Linked DNA regions of Callithrix jacchus. The protein of the gene in region 2 interacts with the protein of the main gene of each other region in a biochemical or structural test. Links are inferred from orthologs where the notes say so. Each region holds a gene or a part of one and is shown on either strand. Other genes may lie near its edges.

Region 1 (4,513 bases), on a different chromosome or scaffold from region 2:
GTCTGGACTGGGATCAGGGCATCAGCCCCACAAAGGACACTTTGCAGGGCTACAGAGGGGCATGAGACAGTTGAGACTAGGCTTACCCCATGGCTGCTTACACCCCCAGGCCTCAGGATCACTCCCATGCCCACTTTGGCCCCTCCCTGGCACGTGTCTGTGCCTCTCAGTTGTACACGCCCAGGGCACCAGGCCCCACCCTGCCTCACCGTCACAGCTCTTCCTGGCAGCAATGTGTCCGCTGATGCGCAGCCCTGACCTGCCTGCCCTCTCCAGGGCCATCTGCAGCTCCCCCAGCACCAGCCAGTCCATTTCCTGGACTGTCAGGGTGGGCAGTACCTCAGCAAAGCCTGGTTCCTGGGGACAGAGCAGGGTGTGATGGGCAATAGCAAGAGGCCAAAGCAAGTGGTGGCCAGAGCCAGGTCCCCACTCACCTGGGCTGAGACATTGGCCTGAAGCTCTCGCAGTAGTTGCCCCTGGTGTAGAATCTGGAGCCTCAAGGGAACCTGGGTTCGTCCTGCAAGGCCGCACATGTGGGCCTTTCTGAGACAGGTGCTCTCCCTAACCTTCTCACATGTTTTGCCCCCATCCCACTTACCCCCACTCCTGGGTTCCAGCAGCCCTCGGAAAAGCAGCAAAAAATGCAAGGAGTCCTCTGTATCACTGAGAGTGAGCAGAGCGATGCCCCCTACGTCCTGCTGTGGGGGGCCTTCTAGTGTGAGGATGGCACTGAAGGTCTCTGGGGAAGGGATGATGACAAGAGCCCGTCAGAAACCTCCCTCCCCTTTCCTGGGGACAGAGAAGACTTGGAGCTCCACACCCGGGGCTCTGTGCTCCCTACCTGCAGCCAGAGCTCGGTGCCGGAGGAGAGGCCCCCAGACCTCCCCCGAAGGGTGAGTGAGTGTCACAAGTGCCACATGTAGCTGTTCCGCCCTAAGGAGCCGCAGAGACAAGCGAGGCACTGCCCGCCACACTCCACAGACCTGGAGCATAGACAAGAGGGCCCTACGCTCAGATATTGCGCTGGCTAGGCCAGTTAGCAGGCCAAGGCCTGGTGAAAAAGGAACATGGGAAGGAGCCTCCAGGGTGCCCTAGGAAGCTTAAGAAAGAACCCCGGAGCCAGATGCTTGGGTTCCAGCCCTGGCTGCACCACTTGCTAGCTGTGTACTTCCAAGAATCCCACCCTCCTACTGAGCCTCAGTACCCCTGTCTGTAAAATGGACATCATCCTGTCAGTGCCTTCTTCCCACTGGGCTGTGGTGAGGACCACAGAAGGCAATGCAGAGAATGCTCTCAGCACAGTGCCCAGACTGGACCAGTGCTCACAAATGGCATCATCTCACCAGGCCATCTTGGGTGGGGGCTGCAGGGTGCTCAAACAGGACACTGCCATTGGAATCTGAGAAGCGGACCCTGGTGGGGCGGTCCAGCCTGGGAATGAGAGGTCGGGTGAGGCCGGTCAGAGCCAAAAGCAGCTCCTCCTCCCGGCTCTCCCAGTTTCCCTCCCGGCCGGCCGGCCGGCAGCTGACCCCTCCTTGCTCCTTCCCCTTTCTCACCGCCTGTAGGAGATGGAGAAGCGGAGGCTAGAGCGCAGCAGCGAGACTCGGGCTCGTGCTACCGCCTGCGACCTTGGCCCTGTCAGCAGCGCCACGAAGTCTGGGACAGGAGGAAGATGGCCTGAGCACTGTCAAACGCTGCTTTGGTGGCCCAGCCTCAACCACAACCCCAATGTCCACCAGCCCCCTACCCGTGTGGCCGTCACCACGGGCCCGCTCCTCAGTGCCTGGCTCTCCGTGGTCGCTGTAACTGCGATGCTCCGGGTCCCTCGGATACTCGAAGGACAGGCCGCTGGGCTGCGGCTCCGAACTGCTGCGCTCTGCGAAGAGGTGGGGGGGTGGTTCGGGGGTGGAGCGGGAGGGGAGCACGGGCTTCAGCGGGCCCGTGGTAAAGGCCAGTCTGCCGCCCCATCCAAGTGGTTCGGGACCTAGCATCAAGGCCCGCAGCCCTCCCCGCAGGGCGGAGCAAGCTTTACCCTGGGGGCAGGTCTGGCAGCAGTGTCCCGGCAGCTGGCGCGGCTGCCCACAGGCCAGAGTCGGGCATTCTGGTTTGATGTTCTTGCAGCTGACCCTGCCAGGGCCCCTGGTACGGCGACCCCACTGAGGCTGCTCCCGGAAAAGGCGGGAAAACCAAGTGAGTGCAAGATGCCAGCTGGTGAGACCCCCGGGCAAGGATGTCCCGCAGAGTCTGCCAGCTCTGCCACTTGCAAGCTTCGTGACCCTACACAAGCTGCTTCACCTCTCTGGGCCTCACGGTCCCCGTCTGGAAAATGGGAATAATAATACTGTCTATCTAGGAAGGCTGCCAGGGGAGTTAGGTGAGCAGGGAACGAAACGCAGTTGGCACAGAGCCTCGCGCAGGGTGGGCGATCAGTCACAGTCAGCACCTAAGACTTGAAGGGGCCGGTTCCTCTTCCTCCACCAGAAACCGCCCCCCAACCTCTGCCGACTGGCCTCCTCCTCGGCAGCTCCGAGTTCACTCCGACGCCCGCGCACCCCGGGGCTCCCCACCCGCCCGCCAGGGCCCGGACCGGCTGCGGGGTGTACTCACCGCCTCGCAGGCGCACAGCACGCAGCGCATCACCCCGAAGGGTTCCCCCAGGTCCGGGTGCCACGTCTCGTCCAAGGCATAGACCTTCCCGCCGAAGGAGCAGCCTGCGGGGACGGGCTTGGCTGGCGGCCGCTGCCCTGCTCGCGCCGTGTGCCGCCCCTGGGGCTGCCCACGGGTCCCAGGTCCCGGGCGCCGCGCCCCTCGGCCCCCGCCCACCCTCCGGCCGCCAGCCGCGCCGAGCCACCTGCGCCCGAGCCCGACTTCCCGCCCGCGCCTCCCCCGGGCGCCCACCTACCTGCCGCTCCCCGAACGGGCAGCGGTTCCTTCTCGGAACGGATGGGCAGCGCGGGGGGATCAGGGCCGGCGCCGCGGGCGGGCCGGGAGCCGAGCAGCAGCAGCCCGAGGAGCAGCAGCGGGGCCGGCGGGGCCGGGAGGCTCGGCATGACGCGAACGGGACAGCTGGGGAGGCGGGAGGGAGGAGGGCGCCGAGCGGGCGGAGGGAGGGGGGCGGAGGGCGGAGGGCGGAGGGCCGGGCCGGGGGCGGTGCGGCGGGAGGGGGCCGGGGCCGGGGCCGGGGCCGGGGCCGGGGCAGTGCCGCGAGGGGCTCGTCGGGCGGCCGCAGAGTCGGCGCCGGGCCGGGCGGGGCGGGAGGAGCAGCAGGGAGGAGCGCGGGCAGGCAGGCGGGCACTGACCCGGGCCGTACGCGGCTCTACTGCCCCGGGCGCCGGCTCCGGCCCGTTTTATGCCTCGCGCCCAACGCCCCGGCCGGGGGCCTCCTCCTCAGCAAACGGGGCGGCGGCGGCGGCTCGGCGAGGGGCCGGGCTGAGCCCGGGGGGTCCGGCCCAGCGGCGGCGGCCCGGATCGCGGGTGGGGGAGGGGAGGGAGGGGCTGGGACCGGGCAGGGGAGGAGGGAGGGGCGGGGGAGGGGGAGGGGAGGGACCAGGGGGCGCGAAGAGGGGGAGGAGAGGCGGGCCCGGAGCCCCCCCGCCCCCCCGCCGGCGGCCACAGGGCGGCTGGACCAGGAGGTCGGTGGCCAGCCCAGGACGGGAGACTCTGGCCAGGGAGGGGCAGAGGCTAGGCCTGAGGCCTGGACCGCTCAGTGAGCGAGGACCCGGTTCTGTTCTGCCCGCCCGAAGGATGAAGACTTGCCCTTGCAGATGACAATGTACAAGAAAGCCCCATCAACGGATCTCCCCCCTGCCTGGGTCCACAGCACCCCTCAAACCCCACGCCAGCCTCTCACTGCCTAGCCTGCCTCCTTACCTCCTCTCTGAGGCCGCTCCTCATTCTGCTGTTACCCCCTTTCTGTGGAGTGACAGTGTCTCCCTCTCATTGTAACGTATCCTCAGACCCATTCCAATGTCCCCTCTTGCTTTCTCACCCCCTTCCTTCACCCAAGAGACCCTCTGCCTCTCCAGCCCACTCCCAACCTCCTTTATCTTGGTTCGGTGGTGGCGCCTGCCTCCCTGTCCCTCCCACCCACACACACCCACCATCCTCCCAGGCGTCCCAGCACCCTCCTTCCTAATCTTAGGAGACATCTCGTCTGGCTGAGCAGGAAAATTCCAGGATCTAGGCCACACTTCTCAGCAGGCATGCCCATCCTTGGCGAGGAGGAACGGGAGAGAGGCCGAGGAAGTTCTGGGGGGCGGGGGATGATGGTAACAAGGTCAGGCCAGGAAGCCCCTGAGGACAGAGACTGTGGGGAGACTGGGACTGGGAAGAACGAAAGGAGCTGGAGCTAGGGCCAAAGGAAAAGGGGAGCCAGCAGGGAGGTGTCTGCCGGGGAGGTCCAGCAGCTGTCTCTCCTAAGACAGGGCCACACGGGCCTGGGTGTTCCTCTTGTCACATGTGGAACGGTAGGAGATGGAAGGGAGACAGAACAAGCAAAGGAGGGCCCTGGGCA
Region 2 (4,351 bases):
CTACAACGGCAATCATAACTCGGCCAGTAATGGCCAGAGGTGACTTCCAATGAAGGGAGCTGGCTATCCTCAGAGCAACCCAAGAGGTCACAGGTAAGCTGTGGGAGTCAAAGGAGCTTTCAGTCCCAGCCTTTGAAAAGAAGCAGGGACAGCCACGCTTGCCATCATCACCTCCAGCATCTGGAGGTCAGGGCTGCAGAGGGTAGAGGAAGCAAAGCCAGGAAGGAGAAGGCAACATGGAGAACAGAGCCCAGGGACTGGTGTCCGGAGGGCAGTAGCCCAGGGGCGTGGGTGTGAGCGCCTGGAAATGCCCATGTGAGTATCCTTCAGAGGTGGGCAGCAGGTCTCAAGCATCAGTCACACCTGAGAGGGAGGCTTGATCTGACGAAAGGCCTGGCCTTGTCAGGCTCCGGGGCCCTCTCAGCTGCCCCCAGGCCTGGCCCAGCGCCCCCTCCAGCCTCACTTCACCCGGTTGGAGTGCTTTCTCCAGAACCCTTACTCACAGCTCCAACTCAGCCAGCCCCACCTTAGCATGAAACCTGAGACTGGGGGGCGAGAGCCCTCAGCCTCCTACTGCTCTGAAAATCACTCCCATTTCCAACAAGAAGGGAAAGACATCAGAATGGCTTCCCACCATTCTTTAAGGCCTGGCCCCAGCCCCAAATCCTCCATGAAGACCCCACAGATCTTCCCAGCCTGCTGTGATCACTTTTCTCTGCCACCACCAGGCTGAAGACAGACAGGAGACTCCCTGAGCCTTTAGCGTCCTACCCTCCAACATGGCACTCAGTGTGGCTTGGTTTGTGCCGTTGATTATGTCTGTAGGTGTCTTAGGTCCCTACTGGAGCATAAGCTCCTTGAGGGCAGGGTCCTAGCTTGTACATCTCAGCACGTCCCACAAGTTCCATCCCAGGCCATAACACATATTATGTTTTGATGGATTGACGGATAAGAGGCACAAAGAGACATCAGCAATCCCACACCCCTCAAAAAAATGAAGTGAGAGTCTGAAGCACAGAAGACAAGGAGTAGGGAGCCCACATTTATTTAGTGCTGACTGTGTGTTAGGCACTAATAAGCGTTTTATGTATGTTCTCATATTTAACGCTTTCCACCAACTCTCCATTTTACAGGTGTGAGAACTGCAGTTCAGACATGATAATTACCACTTCCAGGTCGCACAGCTATCATGAGTGGCTGGGTCAGGATTGGAAGCTAGATGTGCCTGCCTCCAAAGCCCATGTGCAGTCCCTTCTGCCCTGTGCTCACTCCCAGCACCCAGCAAGAAAAATGACAGCGAATGTCCTGGTTTATGCTCAGCCCAACAGGTGTGGAGGGGGAAGGGCTGAGGCATTTGCCCTGATCTCCACTGGATGTGTCTCTCATTCCTGCCTGTGGTCCATCTTCCCGGGAGAGTCACTGAACAGGGTCCCCAGAGCCAGGATTAGAGCAGCCTGCCCCTCCGCCCCCTGTGCCCCATGCAGGCAGTCCGATTCTAGGATCCGTGCCACTTCCCCTGGCTCTGGCTATTTGGAGATGAGCTGAAGTCAGGCAGGAAGTCGAGGAAAAGTTCTGCTTTCTTGTCCCTGTGTGTTCCCAAACAGCCTGCTCAGGGTCACGCAATCGGGCAAATGGCCCGAGTGCCTGACCATCTGGTCACTCCAGGGACAGGACCCTCCTGGGCCCAGCAGGAGTGAAGGGGTTACATAGAGACAAAGAACACACACACACACATACAGGCAAACACACACTCCGGGGCCCTGACATCGGCTAATTAACCTCTGGTGTCTCAGGGGTGGCAGAGCGGATATACAATATCTGGGTTCTCTTTGTATTTTCCCTCTTTCCACCCCAACTTGGCCTTGGCAGGGGTGTCTGGGCACATAGGGGCAAAGGCAAGTCCCCCTTCTGGGCTGGCTTCTCTGACTTTGACAGCTGTCTCCTAAGTCCCAGAAAGCTGCAGCTACTGGTTAAACCACGGGATACCCAGAGAGCACGGTCTCAGGGAATCCCTGGCAAAATTTCTTTCACTTGGGCTGGGTGGTGGCCTCGGACTTGCTCCTTGGCGACTCAGGCCTCCCAGCTCCAGGCCGGACAGATGTGCAGCCCCAGGGCAGCCCACACAGGCTGAAAAACACCCAGCTCCTGGAGCAGGAGAGATGAGGGAGAAGGGGAAAGAAAACTCATGCACGCACGCACACACACACACACACACACACACACGCACAGGAGTTTGGCCGGAAAAGTTTCCTACAGAAGGAAAAGCAGCCTTGCCCGCAGGTTTTCCCGGGACCCAAGGAGACTTCCCCAGGAATCCTCTGGGAAGATGAGAGGCGGCGGCGGCAGCTTCCACCAGCAGCAAAACTTCAGTCCGAAAAGTCCCCCAAACCCCCCTTCCTCTCCCCCTCGTTCTTTTGTTCCCCACTGCATTGCCAACCAGGCAGCTCCCGGCTTCCCACACTGGACTGTCCTCCCCCAACCCCGAACCCGAACCCGCCCGCGCCTCCCCGCCTGGCCCGCCGCCGGGGGACCGGGGGGCGCTCACCCGCCTTGCAGGGGTCTTTGTAGTTGAGGGGCTCCGGGTCGTCCTCCTCCGCCAGGTCATAGGTGTAGTCGGCCAAGTCCAGCGGCCGGCCGGGACGCGGGAGCAGCAGCAGCCCGAGCAGCAGCGGCAGGCGGGCCACGCCGGGCATGCTGGCGGGGCGGCGGCGAGAGAAGCGGGCACTGGAGGCCAGGGGAGGGCGTCCCTCGCCCGCTCGCTCGCTCGATCGCGACGGCGACCGCGACCGCTCCCGCCCGCGCTCCCCGACCTCTTCCCCTTCCCTCTGCTCGCCTCCCTCCTTCCTGTCTCCCGCCCCCCGCTCGGCCCGCGGCTCCGCGTCGGTCCTCGGGCTCCAGCCGTCTCCCTCTCCCTTCCCTTCTTTTTCTCTCTTTCTTTCTCTCCCTCCCGTTCCGCCCCCCCTTTTTAGGGAAATGAGCTCGCTGGAGGGCGGGTTTTCGCCCGAGCTCGGCCCCCCTCGGGGCCGGGACTGTGCTCTGCCGGGCCGGGCCGCGCGCCAGCCGTGGCTGGGAAGGCGGGGAGCCGCGCGCCCGCGGAGGGGGCTCGGGCCGCCCGGGGCGCGGGCCGCGGGGCCGGGGCGGGAGCTCGGTCCCCCAGGGTGCCTGGCGGGCTGCCGCTCCCGATGTGCCCTCTAGCGGCGGCGTCCCCCGCGGACGCCCGGCCGAGCCCCCGCCCCGCCGCGGGACACGCTGTCAGTTTCTCGCGCCGCCCCTGCTCCTCGCCCCCGCCTCGGGTCGGTCTCTCAGCCCGCGTCTCCCTCGCTCCCCTTCTCGGACCCTCGCTCTCTCGCGTCTCGCTCTTTGCGCTCTCTCTCGCTGTCTCGGCGTCTCTCCCTCCTCCCGAGACGCCGCTGGAGGGCGCCGAAAGCCCGTGGATGGCTCCCGGCAAGTCCCTCTACCCCGCCGGGGTGGACCCAGTCCTTCAGTGCCCTGAGACAGAGGAAGAATGGCAAACCCCTCTCTGCTCCCTCAAGTCCCTTCCCTTTCTGGCCGGCCGCCGCCGGGGCAGCACTGCGTCCTGCGGGAAGATGGAAGCAGACCCTTTGCTTTTCAATTAGGCTGCTTTATTCTGTTGTGGCAGGAGTTCCCCGGCCCCTGGGCGCCACCTCCGCCCACTCCCATCCTCTCCCCAAATTCCCATTTCTCCAGGGCCTGTCCCCGCGGTGTGGGCAGAAGCAGCTTCTTGCCCGTCTGCAAAAGTTGCAAAAGACCCTTTTCTCTGGGCGTTTCCTGTCCCCTTGGGGCTTCCACTGACCCTGTGAAGCAAAGGAACGTTGAGGTTGGACAGAGGTTCCCGGTAGTGGGAAATACGGGTATGAGCCTCCCCTCCCCTGAGCTCCCTGAATGACCAGGCTTCAGTGGACGCCCCAGCGCCTGGTCAGCCTGAGCGCTCCTCCACTGCTCAGCGCAGGTGGCCCGAGGGCTCCTCCGCTGCTCATCAGGGTCCCTGGGATCACACCTGCTCACCTGAAGCGTTCTAGATGTAGTAGAGCGGCACCTCGCCACACAGGGTGCTCACAGCCATGCCCAGGAAGCCGGAGTCCCCTCTGGAGGGTGCTGAGCCTGCATCACGCCCCTCCTCCTGGCCCAGCTTAGAGGTTGGCATTTCGGGCTTGGCCTGCAGAAAGCATTCCATTTGGAATCTGGGAAGTGAGTTTCTATCCCATGTGCAGCCCGGATTGTCATACTTCAGGCATGTCAGGCAATCTCTCTGAGCCTCTGTTTCCTCACCAGGAAAGGGGGACTGTGCTGGAGTCAGAAGCCCCCAGGTGGTGAGTGGGCTCACCTGAGC

Evidence for each region.
Region 1: of the proteins of BMP1 (region 2) and CHRD, one has a biochemical effect on the other in vitro, tested with the Homo sapiens proteins (3 studies listed by BioGRID and IntAct). The link is inferred for Callithrix jacchus from reciprocal best matches to the Homo sapiens genes BMP1 and CHRD.

What each region holds. Positions count from the first base shown.
Region 1 is NC_133516.1:13,356,769-13,361,281, reverse strand, and holds the start of CHRD (chordin), read right to left. Parts: upstream 3,060-4,513; 5' UTR 3,051-3,059; coding exon 2,903-3,050; intron 2,712-2,902; coding exon 2,608-2,711; intron 2,163-2,607; coding exon 2,033-2,162; intron 1,877-2,032; coding exon 1,748-1,876; intron 1,657-1,747; coding exon 1,557-1,656; intron 1,432-1,556; coding exon 1,344-1,431; intron 984-1,343; coding exon 842-983; intron 740-841; coding exon 599-739; intron 518-598; coding exon 435-517; intron 358-434; coding exon 210-357; intron 50-209; coding exon 1-49. UniProt on the Homo sapiens protein: Dorsalizing factor. Key developmental protein that dorsalizes early vertebrate embryonic tissues by binding to ventralizing TGF-beta family bone morphogenetic proteins (BMPs) and sequestering them in latent complexes.
Region 2 is NC_133514.1:19,321,692-19,326,042, forward strand, and holds the start of BMP1 (bone morphogenetic protein 1), read right to left. Parts: upstream 2,908-4,351; 5' UTR 2,694-2,907; coding exon 2,546-2,693; intron 1-2,545. Other genes in the region: SFTPC (surfactant protein C), read right to left, coding at 4,037-4,177. UniProt on the Homo sapiens protein: Metalloprotease that plays key roles in regulating the formation of the extracellular matrix (ECM) via processing of various precursor proteins into mature functional enzymes or structural proteins.